Linked DNA regions of Xenopus tropicalis. The protein of the gene in region 1 interacts with the protein of each later gene in a pairwise test. Links are inferred from orthologs where the notes say so. Each region holds a gene or a part of one and is shown in the gene's direction. Other genes may lie near its edges.

Region 1 (4,049 bases):
GAGCAACATCTTGCTCACCACCCCCTCTGATGTTGGTCCCAGAGGCCTCAAAGTAGGTGCCCGTTTTTAAATTTCTGGCTTGGATGCAAGTTTTGGAAGCACAGAGACACAAGGTTACTCCTGTTTAGCCTTCTGCAGTCCACAGTTAGGTCCATAAATATTTGGACAGAGACAACTTTTTTCTAATTTTGGTTCTGTACATTACCACAATGAATTGTAAATGAAACAACTCAGATACAGTTGAAGTGCAGACTTTCATCTTTAATTCGGTGGGGTAAACAGTGGGGATTTTAACACGATCCCTTAATTTCAAGGGCTCAAAATTAATTGGACAATTGACCCAAAGGCTATTTCATGGGCAGGTGTTGGCAAGTCCGTTGTTATGTCATTATCAATTAAGCAGATAAAAGGCCTGGAGTTGATTTGAGGTGTGGTGCTTGCATGTGGAAGGAGCTCTGCATGCAGGTGAAAGAAGCCATCCTTAAGCTGTGAAAACAGAAAAAACCCACCAGAGAAATTGCTACAATATTAGGAGTGGCAAAATATACAGTTTGGTACATCCTGAGAAACCGGTGAACGCAAAAAGACCTGGATATCCACGGAAGACAACAGTGGTGGATGATCGTAGAATCATTTCCATGGTGAAGAGAAACCCCTTCAATACAGCCAGCCCAGTGAACAACACTCTCCAGGGGCTAGGCATATGGATATCCAAGTCTACCATAAAGAGAAGACTGCATGAAAGTAAATACAGAGGGTGCACTGCAAGGTGCAAGCCTCTCATAAGCTTCAAGAATAGAAAGGCTAGATTGGACTTTGCTAAAGAACATCTAAGAAAGCCAGCACAGTTCTGGAAAACCATTCCTTGGACAGATGAAACCAAGATCAACCTATACCAGAATGATGGCAAGAAAAAAGTATGGAGAAGGTGTGGAACGGCTCCTTAGCCAAAGCATACCACATCATCTGTAAAACATGGTGGAGGCAGTGTGATGCCTTGGGCGTGCATGGCTGCCAGTGGCATTGGGACATTAGTGTTTATTGATGATGTGACACGGGACAGAAGCAGCCGAATGAATTCTGAGGTGTTCAGAGACATACTGTCTGCTCAAATCCAGCTAAATGCAGTCAAATTGATACAAATGGACAGATGTACAATGACCCAAAACACACAGTCAAAGCAACCCAGGAGTTTATTAAAGCAAAGAAGTGGAAAATTCTTGAATGGCCAAGTCAGTCACCTGATCTTAACCCAATTGAGCATGCATTTCACTTGTTGAAGACTAAACTTCAGAAAGAAAGGCCCACAAACAAACGGCAACTGAAAGCCACTGCAGTAACAGCCTGGCAGAGCATTAAAGGAACAGTAACACCAAAAAATCAAAGTGTATAAAAGGAACTACAGTATAATGTACTGTTGCCCTGCACTGGTGAAACAGGTGTATTTGCTTTAGAAACATTACCATAGTTTAGTAAATGAAGCTGCTGTGTAGCCATGGGGGCAGCCATTTAAAAGAGAAAAGGCACAGGTGACATAGCAGATAACAGATAAAACACCATTGTATTGTACAGAACTTATCTGTTATCTGCTATGTAACCTGTGCCTTTTTTCCTTTTTCCAGCTTGAATGGCTGCCCCCATGGCTACACAGCAGCTTTTTATATAAACTATAGAAGTGTTTCTGAAGCAAATGTGCAAATTTTACCAGTGCAGGGCAACAGTGCATTGTATTATGATTACTTAAAAACATTTTTATTTTTTGGTGTTACTGTTCCTATAATAAACTCACATTTTTATGCAACCGTTTTGTTCACCCCACTGAATTAAAGCTGAAAGTCTGCACTTCAACTGCATTTCAATTGTTTCATTTACAATTCATTGTGGTAATGTACAGAACCAAAATTAGAAAAAATTTGTCTCTGTCCAAATATTTATGGACCTAACTGTATATGGGCAATTATGGCAAGGTTACAGATAAAAACATACAATTTTATCAGCTAATCAGTTATAGTTAAAGAAAACCAAGTTTACTAAATAAGTATTTGCTCCAAACCCTTACCCTATCTGACCTTCTACTTGGACTTTCAGAAATCATTTTCCCCTGAATTCTACCTTATCTGGTCTTATGGCAGAACAGCTAGTTGTGCAGATACAACTGTTGTTGCACAGCTACCAAACACCCAGTCAAACAAGTTGCAGTGATATGAAGCTTGTCTGTGAGCTTTCCTACCACAAGCCCCCCTTTTGTCGACCTTTTTTTATTCTTTTGGCCGTAGCCTAACAGTATACTGGTAACTTAGCACTAACATGAAATAATAAAATCACAGTAAATATAAAATTGCACATTTAAGGGCACCAGTGTTACAACAGTTCTACAGACTGAGAAGTGCTTAATAAACTGTTACATGTTATATCTATATATAGATATAGTTATATGTAGTGGCCTAACTAAGTACAAAACAAAGCCAAAAGAAGTGGTTTACACTGATCTGGTGAAATGTATAATAAAAAAAAATGTACATATCCTCAATCTCATGGGGACTTTTGCCCTTGGTTTTGGGAAAAGCCCCTTTAATTACCTGGTGGATAACCTAACCATGTGCCTTCTGGGTGTCCTAAATGATGTAATCCCTTCTAAATATGCAAGGTTAAGATTTTGCATTTTACTATTGTATCGAAAGAAAACAGTTGCTATGCATTGGATGGGTAACTCCCCTTCTTCCCCCAGAGCCTGCATACAACTGGTTAATAATGCAACCCCACTCTTTAAACTCACATACAAAATCAGAGGATCACCTGCCAAATTTGACATTGTATGGTGTGATATAGACTCTGTTGAGACCTAAATTAGGGAAACCTCTCCACACCTATACAGGAGGCTGCCATAAAACTGTATGGCCCCCCTCCAGGAGCAATGCCTGCCCTAGACCCTAATCTAGGATGACTGTTCTCTTGGTGTGTCCAACCAAGGGAACCTCCCCCCATGGCTTTCACTGTTACACCTTGTGTCAACTTGTACCCAATTCTCATATTCTGCGAAAACCTTTGTTTGTTTTCTTTGTTTTGGTTTTATCTTGTTTAAAATAATTAAAAAATTACCTTTAAAAAAAAGTGTAAATTATAACTTAAAAAAGGTCACTCAGAGAGAACAAGCAGATAATCAATGAAATAAAGCACCAAGGGTGGCGGAACAGGTCTCACTATGCCACAAATTAATATTACTACCTATACTATATAGTGATCTATGTAGTACCTTTAAACTGAACAGCGTACTAAACTTCTCTTGATTTTTTTTTTAAATTTTTTTATAAATAGAAACTGATTTGGGGAAAAAAGCGCTAACATGATGACATTACTGGTGAATGCTGGGTAGTTTTGTTCCAACTTGACGTTGTCTTTATTTAAAAAGTCTGTTGAAGATAGGGGTACATGGGTTATGGTGTCATGGTTTAAGTTCTCTAGTCATCTCTGTTACCCATAAATTAGTGATTTGTTACTCACGGCTTTTAACTTTTGCAGAATGAAATTGAGCAAAAACGTAGAATGCTCACCTCTGAATTTGAAATCCTGCGTCAGATTTTAGAAGATCATGAAAGAGAATTCAAAGAGCGTTTGGAGAACATGGAGAGACTGATCATTAAAAGAACAAATGAAAGGACCAGTAAGCTGAATGAAAAACTGTCATCTCTGCACGCACTCATCTTAGATATCGAGCAAAATATTCTCCCCTCGGCTCAAACATATCAGGTTAGACTTTATGATCACTGTGTCATCCATTTAATTTACATCCTATGCCAATATTCCTTTTTAACTTATATTTGTTTTTTACATATTGTTCTCTGTCTGACTTCTAAAGGAACCGAAATCTGCGGTGGGCAGGTAAATATTTGTTTTTAACTGCTTTGTAAGTCAATTGTTTTAGTTGTGTGTGAGCATTTTAGTGTTTGATAAGTAGACAAAGGTGCATTTAAGTTGCTTTCTAAATATAAATATACAATATCATAATGAATGTTTTGCCAGAAACCAAACCCATTAGCATTTACCCATTT
Region 2 (4,841 bases), on another chromosome or scaffold:
CACTAGCTGATATAGGCTAACATGGGGGTGGGCAAACTATGGCCCGTTGGTCTTTTTAATCTGGTCCGCCAACTCCGCATGTCCCATCACGCGAGACTTGGCATCTGGGGACTGACGAGTGGAAACGGCGCAACGCTGGCCCGGCCCGTCTGTAAGTCAATGTGGCCCCTGAGCCAAAAGGTTTGCCCACCCCTGGGCTAAAACATTACACATTGGCCTTGTCTCTCTGATAGCATGTATCTGGGGTGCCTACCCACTCCCAGTCTAATGATTCCTTCTCCCACACACTGAGGCAGGGCAGCCACGGGGAGCGTATAAGGCAAAGGCTTGGCACTGCCGGCCGCACAAGGGGAGCATTTCAAGGAAAGGGTGCAGCATTTCCAGATTAAACTTTGCTCAGAGCGCTCTCTGGCTTTATTGGCAGCCGGCCTGGGTGCAGCAGTAGGTACAGGATAGAAGGAACGTGGCACATAAATGGGCGTTGTGCGGTTTGGGTGGGGCCTTATCTCACCAAAAACAGGTTCTGCAATGGAAACAACCACCGGCCCCTACTGAAACGCCTGTAAAGAGCGTCTTTCTCACACACCAGCTTTATCTATACAAGCGCAACCCATCCTTTTATTTTGCCTTAATCACATCCGATAAAGCAGATATCCCCTCCTGCTAAGAAAACAGTCACAACAAAGGCTGAAGGGAGTGGGTTGTATATGGGTGAGCTACTCTGGGAGCAGAGCCATTTGTGTCTGGGGGAGGGAACACTGGAAGCAAGCTGCATGGCAGCTCCCACTGAATAACCAGAAAGAAATAGTATATGCACCAAACTGGGCCATGCTGTCTCACTGCACTATATCTGACACTGCGCCTACAGCTGCCCGACAGACACGCAGCTGGCATTAGCACCGCCCTCCCCTTTCCTCCTATCGCAGAGCCGCACTGCTGGCTTGTGCCTCCCCTTGTACTTTTCTCCTATCGCAGAGCCGCTTTGCTGGATTGTGTCCCTCCCCTTGTAATTTCCTCCTATCGCAGAGCCGCACTGCTGGCTTGTGCCTCCCCTTGTACTTTCCTCCTATCGCAGAGCCGCACTGCTGGATTGTGTTTCCCCCCTTGTACTTTCCTGCTATCGCAGAGACTTACTACTGGCTTGTGCCGCCCCTTGTACTTTCCTCCTATCGCAGAGACTTACTACTGGCTTGTACCTCCCCTTGTACTTTCATCCAATCGCAGAACCGCACTGCTGCTGGCTTGTGCCCCTTCCCTTCTACTTTCCTCCTATCGCAGAGCCGCACTGCTGGCTTGTGCCTCACCTTGTTCTTTCCTCCTATCGCAGAGCCACACTGCTGGCTCAAGACCCGCCCCTTGTACTTTCCTCCTATCGCAGAGCCACACTGCTGGCTCAAGACCCGCTCCTTGTACTTTCCTCCTATCGCAGAGCCGCACTGCTGGCTTGTGTCCCTCCCCTTGTAATTTACTCCTATCGCAGAGCCGCACTGCTAGCTCAAGACCCGCCCATATCCCTTGCTCTGTGTGTGAGGAAGGTGCTGGGTTTTGGGCTCGATGGGCTCCCCAGGGGGCAGTGAGGATGAGGCTGAAGAGGAGGAGGAGGAGGAAGCGGGCTGGTTGTGCAAAGCTGAGAGCCCAAGCCGTGTCGGTGTGGAAGTACCATGTAAATAACAAGGGGTCTTCCCCATGCCCAATGCTCCTACAGCAGCAAAGGCCTCCTATCTCCTCTCAGTGTTGGCATAGAGACAGGGGTGGGGGTGGCACCTCATGTGTAACATGGCAATGAGCCCTATAGTCAGGGGCAGATAGCATGGCTGCACATCTGTGTTTCTAAGCGACTTCCAAATCTCTGTATTCTGTTCCAGTGGCTTTAGAGTTATTTGTAAATGGGGTATCTGGCTACTTACAGTCTCTGCACTGCTTGTTCTGCTTGTGCATATAACTGTATATATAGTTAATAATGGGCGAGGCTGGCATTAGGAAGTCTGTGGGTGCTGCAGGGCATTGGGGGGTTCTAGTGGCAGGTAACATTGTGCGCAGGTGTTTTTGTGGGGCCTTGGTGTGATGAAACCTGGTAAAGTTATGGGCAGCAGCAGGCAAAGGCCGGGGTTGATGCCTGGGGGTCCCCCCCCACCCCAGTTGTGCCATCAAACCCCTCCCCCCACCATGTACCCCCCTTCCTCCTTGCGCCCGTGATGGAGTGGAGTGAGCGGACTGGGTCGGTGGGGGCCACAGGGCGAAGGCTACAGCGCCGCGGTTATTCTTTATCTCGGCCAGCAGCACCTTTGATTTTGGCCTTTGAATGAATGAATGGTTCTGCCTTATGAATTCCAATAGGAAATTAGATCAGAACCGGCGCCGAGATTGTTCTCTAATCCTCTCATACAGAGTGACCCCCAAAACCTTTCTTTTTGTGAATTCTGGGCGGGACAGGGTTTCCCAATGCCCAAAACCTTTCTTTTCTTGAATTCTGGGCGGGACAGGGTTTCCCAATGCCCAAAACCTTTCTTTTCTTGAATTCTGGGCGGGACAGTTTGAATTAGAAAATGACTTGTTTATGGGTTTCTCAGTTTATCACAAAAGTATCACTGGAAAACAGGTTGTTGTGGTGGGTGTTGAGGAGGGTGAATCCAAGGAAAGCCGTGGGGCCTGATGGTGTGGCTGGATGGGTGCTGAAGGATTGTGCGGACCAATTGGCCCGAGTCCTTACTTGGATTTTACTAGGAATTTAATTGGTCTCAGGCTATGGTTCCATCATGAACTTAAGTCGTCCATTATTGTTCCACTGCCTAAAAAGCCCATTACGTTTGAATGATTTTCGTCCAGTGGCACTTACATCGGTCATCATGAAGTGCTTTGGGAAACTGATGCAGAGTCATATTATTGCTTGTTTACCAGTAGACTTAGATCCCTTTCAATTTGTGTATAAGGCAAAGAGATCTACAGAGGATGCGGTGGCTATAGCCCTTCATATTGCTTTGAGTCATCTGGAACAGCGGGGGAGTTACGCTAGATTGCTTTTTGTGGATTGCAGTTCAGCATTCAATACTCTCCCGCGATGATTGGTGTCTAAATTGGTATACTTGGGACTTCCATTATCTACTTGCAGTTGGATACTGGATTTTTTAACTGGTTGGTCTCAGAGGGTCAGGTTGGATTCTTAGATCTTCAGGCTGAATACCGGCTCGCCACAGGGCTGTGTGCTAAGTCCGCTCCTCTATACCCCTCTACACATATAACTGTGTTCCTACTCACCTCAGTAATAAGATCATTACGTTTGCAGATGATACAACGGTAATTGGACTCATCTCAGGCAGGGAGAGTGAGATGGCATAGGAATGAGGTAGAGCGGCTGTCAGAGTGGTGCAGTGTAAACAACTTGCAACTTAATACCTCAAAGACAAAGGAGTTGGTGGTTGACTTCAGGAGAAATAAAACTGATATTCAGCCGCTTAAGATTTCTGGGGTATGTGTGGAGAGGGTTTTGGAATTTAGGTTCCTAGGTATTGAATTGGAGGAGGAGCTGTCTTGGAGGGCCAATACTAGGGTGCTGCCGGGGAAGGTGCAGCAGAGACTGTATTTTTTGCGAATTCTTAGAACTGTCTCCCTAGGAATTTACTTCTTGCCTTTTACCATTGTTCCATCACGAGTGTACTCACATATGGACTCTGTGTGGTATGGCAGCTGTACCTTATCAGATGCAAAGGCACTCCATAGAATTATTAGGGCAGCAGAGAAAATAGTGGGCTTCCCTTTACCTTCCCTGGAACAAATTTACAATTCCCGATGCCAGAAAAAAAGCTTTGGATAATATACAAGATCCATCACATCCCAGTCACTCCTTTTTTCAGGTTTTGCCATCAGGCAAGAGATATAGGGTAATGAGAGCAAGGACAAATCGCTTGAAAAATGGTTTTTATCTAAAGCGATTATGGCTCTCGATTCGAAGTAGAGAGAATTGTTAAATTGCATGTTAAATTGTTAGTGCATTTGTGGATATTTGTTCTTGGTGTGTTATTTTTGTATAGTGCTTTTGCATTGCTTTGAGTTGATTGTTTGCAATTTTGTTGTCCAAGTGATAATGACAAAGATTATTCATTCATTCATTGTTGTAAGTGGTTTACTACCTGTAACCTTCCACGTATGGCATGGTATCCCCACTCCTTGCCAAAGGCCTAGGGGACAGTTCAGAAAACAGGCCTTTTTCTACATTTTACTCCATTTGGGTAACCCATAGCAACCATTCAGTAGTTGTGATAATTAACCGCTAGAGGAGCAATTTGTTTGGCAACCTGCTTGGTTATAATGGGGTTAGTTAATTAAGTTAAGGGAGTTGTAAATCCAGCCATGATAGAAATTACCAAACAAACAATTATAGATGCAAGAAAATTCACCAATGAGAATTCTATTGATAAAAAACGTTATTATACATTATGCAAAAGAATTGACCAATGAGAATGCTGATTCCCAGCACTGTCAGGCATCTTGCTGTTATTTTACACATAGAGAGATAATTATGTCACTTTTTGACTTTATTAAATGACACAGGAATCAGACATGGGGATAAAGGGACAGACTTGTTCAGTGCTGGGAAACTGTGCTTATTGCTCCCAACTCCAATTGCAGGAACAGAGAACAGGGAGCCGGATTTACACAGATCAGCTGGGATTCTCATTGGAGGATTTTTTCTTTTTAAAGCAGTCGCTGGCTGGGGAGATTTGGGGAAAAGTTTAGGAAAAGCTTTATTGTGCAATAGTGTAATACAACCTGGATGTTGCTGGACTACAGCTCCTAGAATACCTTTATTATATGTTACATTATTCTAGGATTTGTAGTCCAGC
Region 3 (4,049 bases), on another chromosome or scaffold:
AAGGGGATGGAAGATTTAAGCTATGAGGTTAGACTGTCGAGGTTGGGGTTGTTTTCTCTGGAAAAGAGGCGCTTGCGAGGGGACATGATTACTCTGTACAAGTACATTATAGGGGATTATAGGCAGTTGGGGGATGTTCTTTTTTCCCATAAAAACAATCAGCGCACCAGAGGTCACCCCTATAGATTAGAGGAACAGAGCTTCCATTTGAAGCAGCGTAGGTGGTTTTTCACGGTGAGGGCAGTGAGGCTGTGGAATGCCCTTCCTAGTGATGTGGTAATGGCAGACTCTGTTAATGCCTTTAAGAGGGGCCTGGATGAGTTTTTGAACAAGCAGAATATCCAAGGCTATTGTGATACTAATATCTACAGTTAGTATTACTGGTTGTATATATATAGTTTATGTATGTGAGTGTATAGTTTGGTTAGTATAGGTTGTGTGCTGGGTTTACTCGGATGGGTTGAACTTGATGGACAATGGTCTTTTTTCAACCCTATGTAACTATGTAACTATGTAACTTAAAATTGTTGTATAATAAAGGTGAAGTCAGATCTATACATGCAAGCCTGTTCAGTATGCTTGATACTTTGTCTGAATTATCTGTGTTTGTCATCGTGTGAGCCAGATACTTAACCTTAATCTGAAACATAGCTCATTGGGCAAACTTAATATGCCAGCTGCATGCCTGTGGGTGGGGGTGTTTTGGGTTTTTTTTAGGGGTTTTGTTTGTTTTATTTTCTCTTTTTATGTGGTAGAATAGGGCCAAGAGGGCCCATTTGCTAGCACTATATAAATAACAGGAAATAAATTAGCCATACAGAAAGCAGTTTGCTCACAAGAATTCAGGGATTGTCTACATTTTGTATGAGTTTCTGAAGTGCAGTTCGTTTAGACAAGTATTAGTTATGGTGTCATTCTGTTGAGCCCAGTGGAACTCTTGGCGACTTGTGTTTTTAACTATCCTCTAATACTTGCTCCCTGTGTAACATAATGGAATTTATTTGTTCCACTTTGGTGTTGCGTTCAGATTTTCAGAACATGACTCTCTAATCCCAGCTGTTTAGCTTGGTACTATATAATTGATTATGATCATTATCCATTTTCACTACCATTTAAATGAAGTGCCTTATGACATTTCTCATCCCACCCCTCTCTGATTTCTGTTCCCCATGTTTTTGCATGTGCAGCTCTGGCTTCATAAATGTAGTTACTTGCTTAGGGTACATGTAAAAAATATCTGAGTATATTTCATACAAAACCCTAATAATTAAATCAGCAACTGTTGTGACTGGAACCTTCATTAATCTGTTGATGAATGATCTTTAATCGGCACTTGTGCTCAGTGCAGACTGTACAGAGTTTATCCAGCAGTGCAATACATACCTGAATCTAATTATTCATCTGCGCTGGGGCATACGTATTGGTAATTAATGGGCAATCAACAGATCATCCATTTAATTGGAAACCTAAAAGTGGAGGAAGAAATCATTTGAATTTCTTCCTATACTAATTTTTCAAGTGTTCCAGGTTAAGTGGATGGTTTGGCCTTTTTATTTTGTTAGATATTTTTAAGTTCTGTTTTAATTGTATGAAATAGAATGAAGCTGGAGGAATAGAAAGAGTTTCCTCTGTTTTAGGGGCTTGATTGATATTCCATCATTTTCGCCTGCTGACTACCAATTTCAGAATGCATAATTTTCATTTAGAGCGCTACTCTGTTTGGTATTGCTCACTGTTTTATGGTATCGTTGACATTAGCTTTTGAAGAGTGTAATCCTTGAGGTTTTTCCACCAGATTAGTGGACAGGAAAAACTGAAATAATTTTTTTTTTTTTTTTAATGATGGCGTAAGTAATAAGTATGAAAATGTAGATTGTAATATTTAACCCAGGGGAAATAATTTAGTAATTTGTACTTGAAATGTTGTTCATAAAAATAATTCATAGAGAATTATTGTGCCCTTAAGTTAGACTGCTTTAATAGGCAATTACTGTGGCTCACGTTAACACCAGGGAGATAGATTTTATCCCTTCATCCCATTATTTCTCATGTTTTGTTCCTTTTAAAGGTATAAGTAATGAGAGGAGGGACAGGAAAGATATCCTGTGCATTCAATATTAATAAAAAAGCTATGATGCACACTTTTTTAAATACATAAACATTATGAAAAATTAATTGATCTATTTTTCTGACTGGAAATGAGCAGTACAGTGAAACGAACATTTGTAGGGATGAAAGTCACTGTCAACTTCCCAAATGAGTACTAGAGTAGTGTTTTTATATTGCACGCAATTGGGCCCATTGCAGGGACCAAAGCATCAATCATTCTTGAAAGATGGAATACATAATTCAGGGATCCCCAACCTTTTTTTTTTTACTCATAAGCCACACTCAGATGTAAAAAGTTCACACAATTATGAAAAAAGTTCCTTGGGGGTGCCAAATAAGCACTGTGATTGGCTACTTGGTAGCCCCATGTGGCCTGCAGGAGGCTCTGCTTGCAGTAAATCCACGTGTTTGCCTTTACAAAACTTGTCTCCAAGCCAGAAATGTAAAAGTGGGCACCTACTTTGCGGCCACTGGGAGCAACAACAAAGGCGGCGCTGAGCAACATGTTGCCCCCGAGCCACTGGTTGGGGATCACTGACAGAATTCATAATTTGTTTATATTTTTGCTACTGTTTTTTTTTTTTTTATTATTATATAGTTCCATGCCTTGTGTAACTATACTAAACCCTAATACCTTTTTCCCATATGTGGCTGCAGAATTCTATGATCAATTACATTCTGGTGATATACATTTTTTCTCATTATATTTGTACAGGTATTTCTAAAAAAAAAAAATGTAAATGTGTCATCCTTGTTTGTTTTTTCTTGATGTTCTTTCTCTTTGTTTCCTTTTTATTTCCATTGAGATTAGATTAAATTCATGGAATTCCATAAAAATTCACAGAAATAGAATTCCACATTAATCAAATTTCTGTCTTTTAATGAAAGTATGGCTAAGCTAGTTATTCCAACTGAGCTAGCTAGCGTAGGTGTTTTTGTTTTTCTAAATGTTTGGCTTAAACTGGGATCTGTAATATCCATTACTCCTGCTGTTTTATTTTTTTTAACAGCGCTGGACCAAAGGGGGACAATATTTATGAATGGAGATCTACGATTCTTGGACCTCCAGGATCAGTATATGAGGGGGGTGTATTTTTCTTGGATATCACATTTTCATCTGATTATCCCTTTAAGCCACCAAAGGTAAGGGAAATATATCTGGAATGTATTGATTTACATCAGCAGGTTGGGCATTAGGTATCTAGATTGCTGTCATAGGGAATGCTTTTTTTTTTTTTTTTTTTTTTAATACTGCTGTTGGTTTTTGCAAATCAGAAATCTCCATAATACTATAATATTGATATTGTTGTTCTGGTGGGTAAAGGGGTTTTCAAGATTAGTTGTATTTTCATGTTTATTTAATAATGTTTACATTCTATTGTTATATTAAAATATTATGTTTTTGTATTTAGATCCATAATTCAGGAATATTAAGCTTATATGTGTCTCTGAAATGAAGGGGAAAAAAATCTATTTTTCTCAAACATTCAATTCCCCCAAGGAAATTGCACTAAAATGTTATGCAAAAGAAGTGTGAGCAGTGGTACTGAAAGGATTACAAATTGTGTGGATTAATTAAAATTCACCCAGTAAGATTAGGATGTGGGGCATCCCTACTAGAATGCATAATATTTCCGTGTGAAAATGACCCAACATCTATTTTGGCCCAAAAAAATTTGACCCACCAATATTTATTTGGCCCAAATCAATAATATGTAAATAAAATGTAATAAAATCATTTTCATTACACATGTTCTGATCAGAAAATCCCAGAAGATCCCTATGGGTGATACCCCATGAGTATCAGCCAATTTATCATTCAACCAGGTTTGAATATTTCTGCCAGTACATCATGTTGGCCGATCCGGATAAAATAAAACACTGGAAATTTACTTCCCAGAGCGGTTTGAAGGTGGCCCAGTTGTGGTGATCTTTAAACA
Region 4 (4,049 bases), on another chromosome or scaffold:
TGGCTTTGTATGCGTGTGTGGCTTTGTATGCGTGTGTGGCTTTGTATGCGTGTGTGTGTGGCTTTGTATGCGCGTGTGTGGCTTTGTATGCGTGTGTGTGTGTGGATTTGTATGCTTGTGTGTGTGTGGATTTGTATGCTTGTGTGTGTGTGTGTGTGTGTGTGAGTGTGTGTTTGAAAAGAACACACATACCCTTTCTACTGGTAGAGTATGGGGCCAATTCTTTTGTGTTTTGACAGACAACAGATTTTCTGCAGGGAAAAATGCAACTGAGAAAATCACCTAGTGTGCCTTATTTATGTTGGTGTCTGAGGTGCAGGAAGAATGTAACTTGCCTAAGGCTACAAAGGCCAAGTAGAATTGGAGTAACGATTAATTATGCAGAAAAATACTTTTTTTCAGTTGCTTTCTATTTTTTTTTTTACTGTTTTCTAAAATTAAAGTTTAAAGTTCCTTTCTAAGGTGTTTTAGTGTTGCAGCTCAGTAATCTAGCTGCCTCGGAACTGTTAGAATTTGCTACGTTAGTTGATACATTTCCCAGTAGCAATTGTGGAATATTAGCAATTATTGTATCAATAATCCCTGAGCATCATTAAGGTTATAATTGATAGAATGGTTTGTTAATAGATACAATAGTTTATCAGGCCCGAACATTTGAAATATTTAATAATTAGGACAGTTTTACAGTTGATGCTCGCCACCCAGAGCTGCTCCAGGGAGACAGTGTCATAGCAAATGCTCAATAGCTGCTGTTGGCTAGTGAAGTTGCAAGAGTTGAGAAGAATCTGTTTGCTTGCCCTTAACTTTATGTGGGATCAGACCATGTTAGTAAACATACAAATGAGGGCTGTATCCAGCTGACACCATGATAACTTAATTTTAATTAAGTTTTCTTTTAATTTTAGTCATCCGTATTTTCCTTTTTTGCACTAATGGGAAAAAGCCTATATTAGCATTTGAGATAAGGAGCAGCTTTTTTAAGATAAGGCTTCCCCTTCTTTCCTCAAGTAGTTTGTTTAATGTGTTTCTCCTCTGTTGACAGCTTGAAGTTGGAAAGTAAAAGTGGTTTCATTTTCTTGTTTAGTGATAGAGAAATCGGTAAACCATAGACATTTCTTAATTAAATGAATAGGCAAGAATTCTGTTAAGCAGAAGGCCTGTTTCTTTAGCTCATTAATACAGTACTTTTAAAGGACATTTCAACCCAAAAAGTTTTGCCTAATAAAAGAAAACATAATTCCAAGCAGCTTTCCGATATGAATTTATTTTAAAAAATTTCAGTACTTTAAAAGTTATTTGTAAGTGTAATTGCTATTGAAAGCAGCGCTTGAAGAATTTTGTGCCGGAGAATTATACCCCATTGAAGAGAATGGTGTTCGACTGCTAAAAGAGGTTGGACACATTCCAATGAATTGGCTCAAGCTTTTCTAAAAATATTAGTTCATTTAAAACGTCCTGACAGTAAAGTTTTAATACATAGAGAAACTGTACCATCCTCAGAAATCCTCATCAGGACTCTTGCCCAGGGAGCCCCAAATATTAACCTATTGGTCATGTGGGCAGAGGGCCTTGCCAGCAAGTAGAATGTAGTACCAATAATGAAAAAAAGGCCCATGTATGTATGGCCATGCCCCATTGTGCCATCGCAACATGCAAATCACACATTTACATCTCAGGGGGCCACCCCCTTGTAGCGGCCCTTTAGGGAAATATGGAACTGCTGGTTTTAAGGTTCCCCACTTGGCTATTGGAGAAAAAAAATTGTTGCAGGTGTTTAAAGTAAAGTGTTAGGGAACTTTTGTGCCAGCACAGCTCATGACGTGGGCCTGTATGTATCAGGCTGTCTTGCTGTTCATATGCCTTTAAGAAGCAGTTTTAACGCGTTTGAAATAGCTATTGTGCTGCAGGCACTTAAAGAAAGGAACTATTGGATCTTACTTTTTTTTTTTTCTTTTTAAAGTCTATGACCTTTTGTGTTTATTAATAACCATACAATTTCCTTTTTTATAAAGTGCATTGAATTCTAGTTCCACTTGAGTTAAGCTGTTTGTGTTTCATTTGTGTTGATCCAGTTGCAGCATTGCAGCTTTTTTTTATATTATCCTGGAATCATCAAGGCATTTTATTTTCCTTAGGTGACATTTCGGACAAGAATTTACCACTGTAACATAAACAGTCAGGGGGTGATCTGTCTCGACATCCTGAAAGATAACTGGAGCCCAGCACTCACAATTTCCAAAGTCCTCCTGTCTATCTGCTCTCTGCTCACAGACTGCAACCCTGGTAAGGACCTCTCTTGTGAAAAATTGCATTAATATGCCTTGAGAGCTATAGAACAATATTGTTTCCTATTATTATCTGGGATATTTATTCTCTGCTCATGGCCTGTGTGTAAAGTAAGATGCAATTAACAGCAATTACCTTGGGCAGCCTATAAGCACCTACCAATCTAGTGCTGTCAGATTATTATTGCCTTGTCAGAATATTATTGCCTTGTGTTTTTTGTGACCTTGCGGACTTACCAGGTGGTGGGGTTACTTCAGGAGTTATGCTTTTAATATCTCCTTGCATGAAGCATTTATTAGAATACAATTTATAAAAGTATTTTATTTCTCTAGCTGGAAGCAGTTCATCATCTATGCTTAAAGCTGTTGTTAACCATCTTCAACCATAATTCAAGCATATTTAGTTAATATTAAGAGAACACTGCAATATTTGGTTTCCTGTGCAGTATTCCGATTAGAAAAACAAGTTTTCTGGGGCTGGCAGTTTGCACAACTAATTTGATTTCTTATCATAATTATTTAAATTGATGCAACCGATATATAAATGAGGGTATCCTTTTGGGTGAAAATGTTTAAAGAGAAGTTGTACCTGCCACTAAATGTTCCTTAGAATACCCTGTCTATGTTCTGATTAAAATAGGTTTGTAATAAAGGCTGGAAAGTGTTCCCAGGTAGCAACCTCTTAAAGCCTATAAGCCTGTATCTTCTACTGTTCTCTTGTTCAAAAGCAAACCTCAGGGTTACTTGACCTGTGTAAAATTTGGCAAATTGAATTACATTACCCTAAATTACTGCATTATGGCTTTATCATTTATTAAGTCCCAAAGTGCCTGCACTTAACTTCTTTAATATGGGGTACCCCCATATTCTCCTTTATAATCCAGATCTCCTTTATCACCTGGCTGATACTACTACATTGTCAAAACCAGGACTGCAGAGAATATAAACAGCCAGAAAGATAATAAAAAGTACACAAAGGGAGGGCAAGCATTATAATAAGTATAATATGCAGAGAGATGAAGTGCCACATGGTACTGGCACATGGAATTGTATAATGCTTTCAGGAAGTCATTGGATGATGCTTATTCACACTTATGGAGACAGAATGCAGAAAAATGGATATGGCAACCATAACAAAAATGGGAGGTATAGTCCCAGTTATACATCATTTTATGTAAAATTCATTTCTAGGTATTGGATTAGCTATATATTAGTTTAGGTAAGTGCAAAAACACAACATAAATATAATATACTAAAGGGAAGAATATTAAAAGCTACTATTCATCCACAACACTGCTTTTTATTAGGTTTCTGAGAATGGTTAATAACAATTCTGCTCATTCTAATACCTGTATTCAGTCCGTTATCCTTAATTTACTTAATCTTATTAGTCATTATAGAGCAGAGCCTGAGTAATCATTTAATACCCACTCTAGTTAGGGCAACATGTCAGAATGAATCCTAATAAGCTAATTAACAAATAATATTTTATCTAGTATTTTTTATAATGCAATTAGAGAAAGTATATATTTAATAATTGAAACAAAAAGCTTTCACTGTGATACTTGTCTCTAACTAGGCAGCTCAGAAAGGATCTGGTGTGTTGTGTGAGTTTGCCAGATAACCAGGGGCACATTGTGCCAAGAATAAATGTATATTAACCAAGTCATCTGATTAAACATTCATCTAATTGTCTTGCCCAGGCCTTTGTATATAATGTTTCCTATGTACACATCTAAATTACTCTAAACCTAAAAAAACCTA

The links.
Region 2: the proteins of E3 ubiquitin-protein ligase TRIM39 (region 1) and poli interact in binary tests that used the Homo sapiens proteins (3 or more experiments, as listed by UniProt). The two-hybrid records come from large-scale screens. The link is inferred for Xenopus tropicalis from reciprocal best matches to the Homo sapiens genes TRIM39 and POLI.
Region 3: the proteins of E3 ubiquitin-protein ligase TRIM39 (region 1) and ube2e3 interact in binary tests that used the Homo sapiens proteins (3 or more experiments, as listed by UniProt). The link is inferred for Xenopus tropicalis from reciprocal best matches to the Homo sapiens genes TRIM39 and UBE2E3.
Region 4: the proteins of E3 ubiquitin-protein ligase TRIM39 (region 1) and ube2e2 interact in binary tests that used the Homo sapiens proteins (3 or more experiments, as listed by UniProt). The link is inferred for Xenopus tropicalis from reciprocal best matches to the Homo sapiens genes TRIM39 and UBE2E2.

The regions. Positions count from the first base shown.
Region 1 is NC_030678.2:143,279,107-143,283,155, forward strand, and holds part of E3 ubiquitin-protein ligase TRIM39, read left to right. Parts: intron 1-3,519; coding exon 3,520-3,747; intron 3,748-3,856; coding exon 3,857-3,879; intron 3,880-4,049.
Region 2 is NC_030677.2:203,554,512-203,559,352, reverse strand, and holds the start of poli (DNA polymerase iota), read left to right. Parts: upstream 1-1,676; 5' UTR 1,677-1,693; coding exon 1,694-1,751; intron 1,752-4,841. UniProt on the Homo sapiens protein: Error-prone DNA polymerase specifically involved in DNA repair. Plays an important role in translesion synthesis, where the normal high-fidelity DNA polymerases cannot proceed and DNA synthesis stalls. Favors Hoogsteen base-pairing in the active site.
Region 3 is NC_030685.2:62,838,072-62,842,120, reverse strand, and holds part of ube2e3 (ubiquitin-conjugating enzyme E2 E3), read left to right. Parts: intron 1-3,119; coding exon 3,120-3,252; intron 3,253-4,049. UniProt on the Homo sapiens protein: Accepts ubiquitin from the E1 complex and catalyzes its covalent attachment to other proteins. In vitro catalyzes 'Lys-11'- and 'Lys-48'-, as well as 'Lys-63'-linked polyubiquitination.
Region 4 is NC_030682.2:46,453,307-46,457,355, forward strand, and holds part of ube2e2 (ubiquitin-conjugating enzyme E2 E2), read left to right. Parts: intron 1-2,135; coding exon 2,136-2,283; intron 2,284-4,049.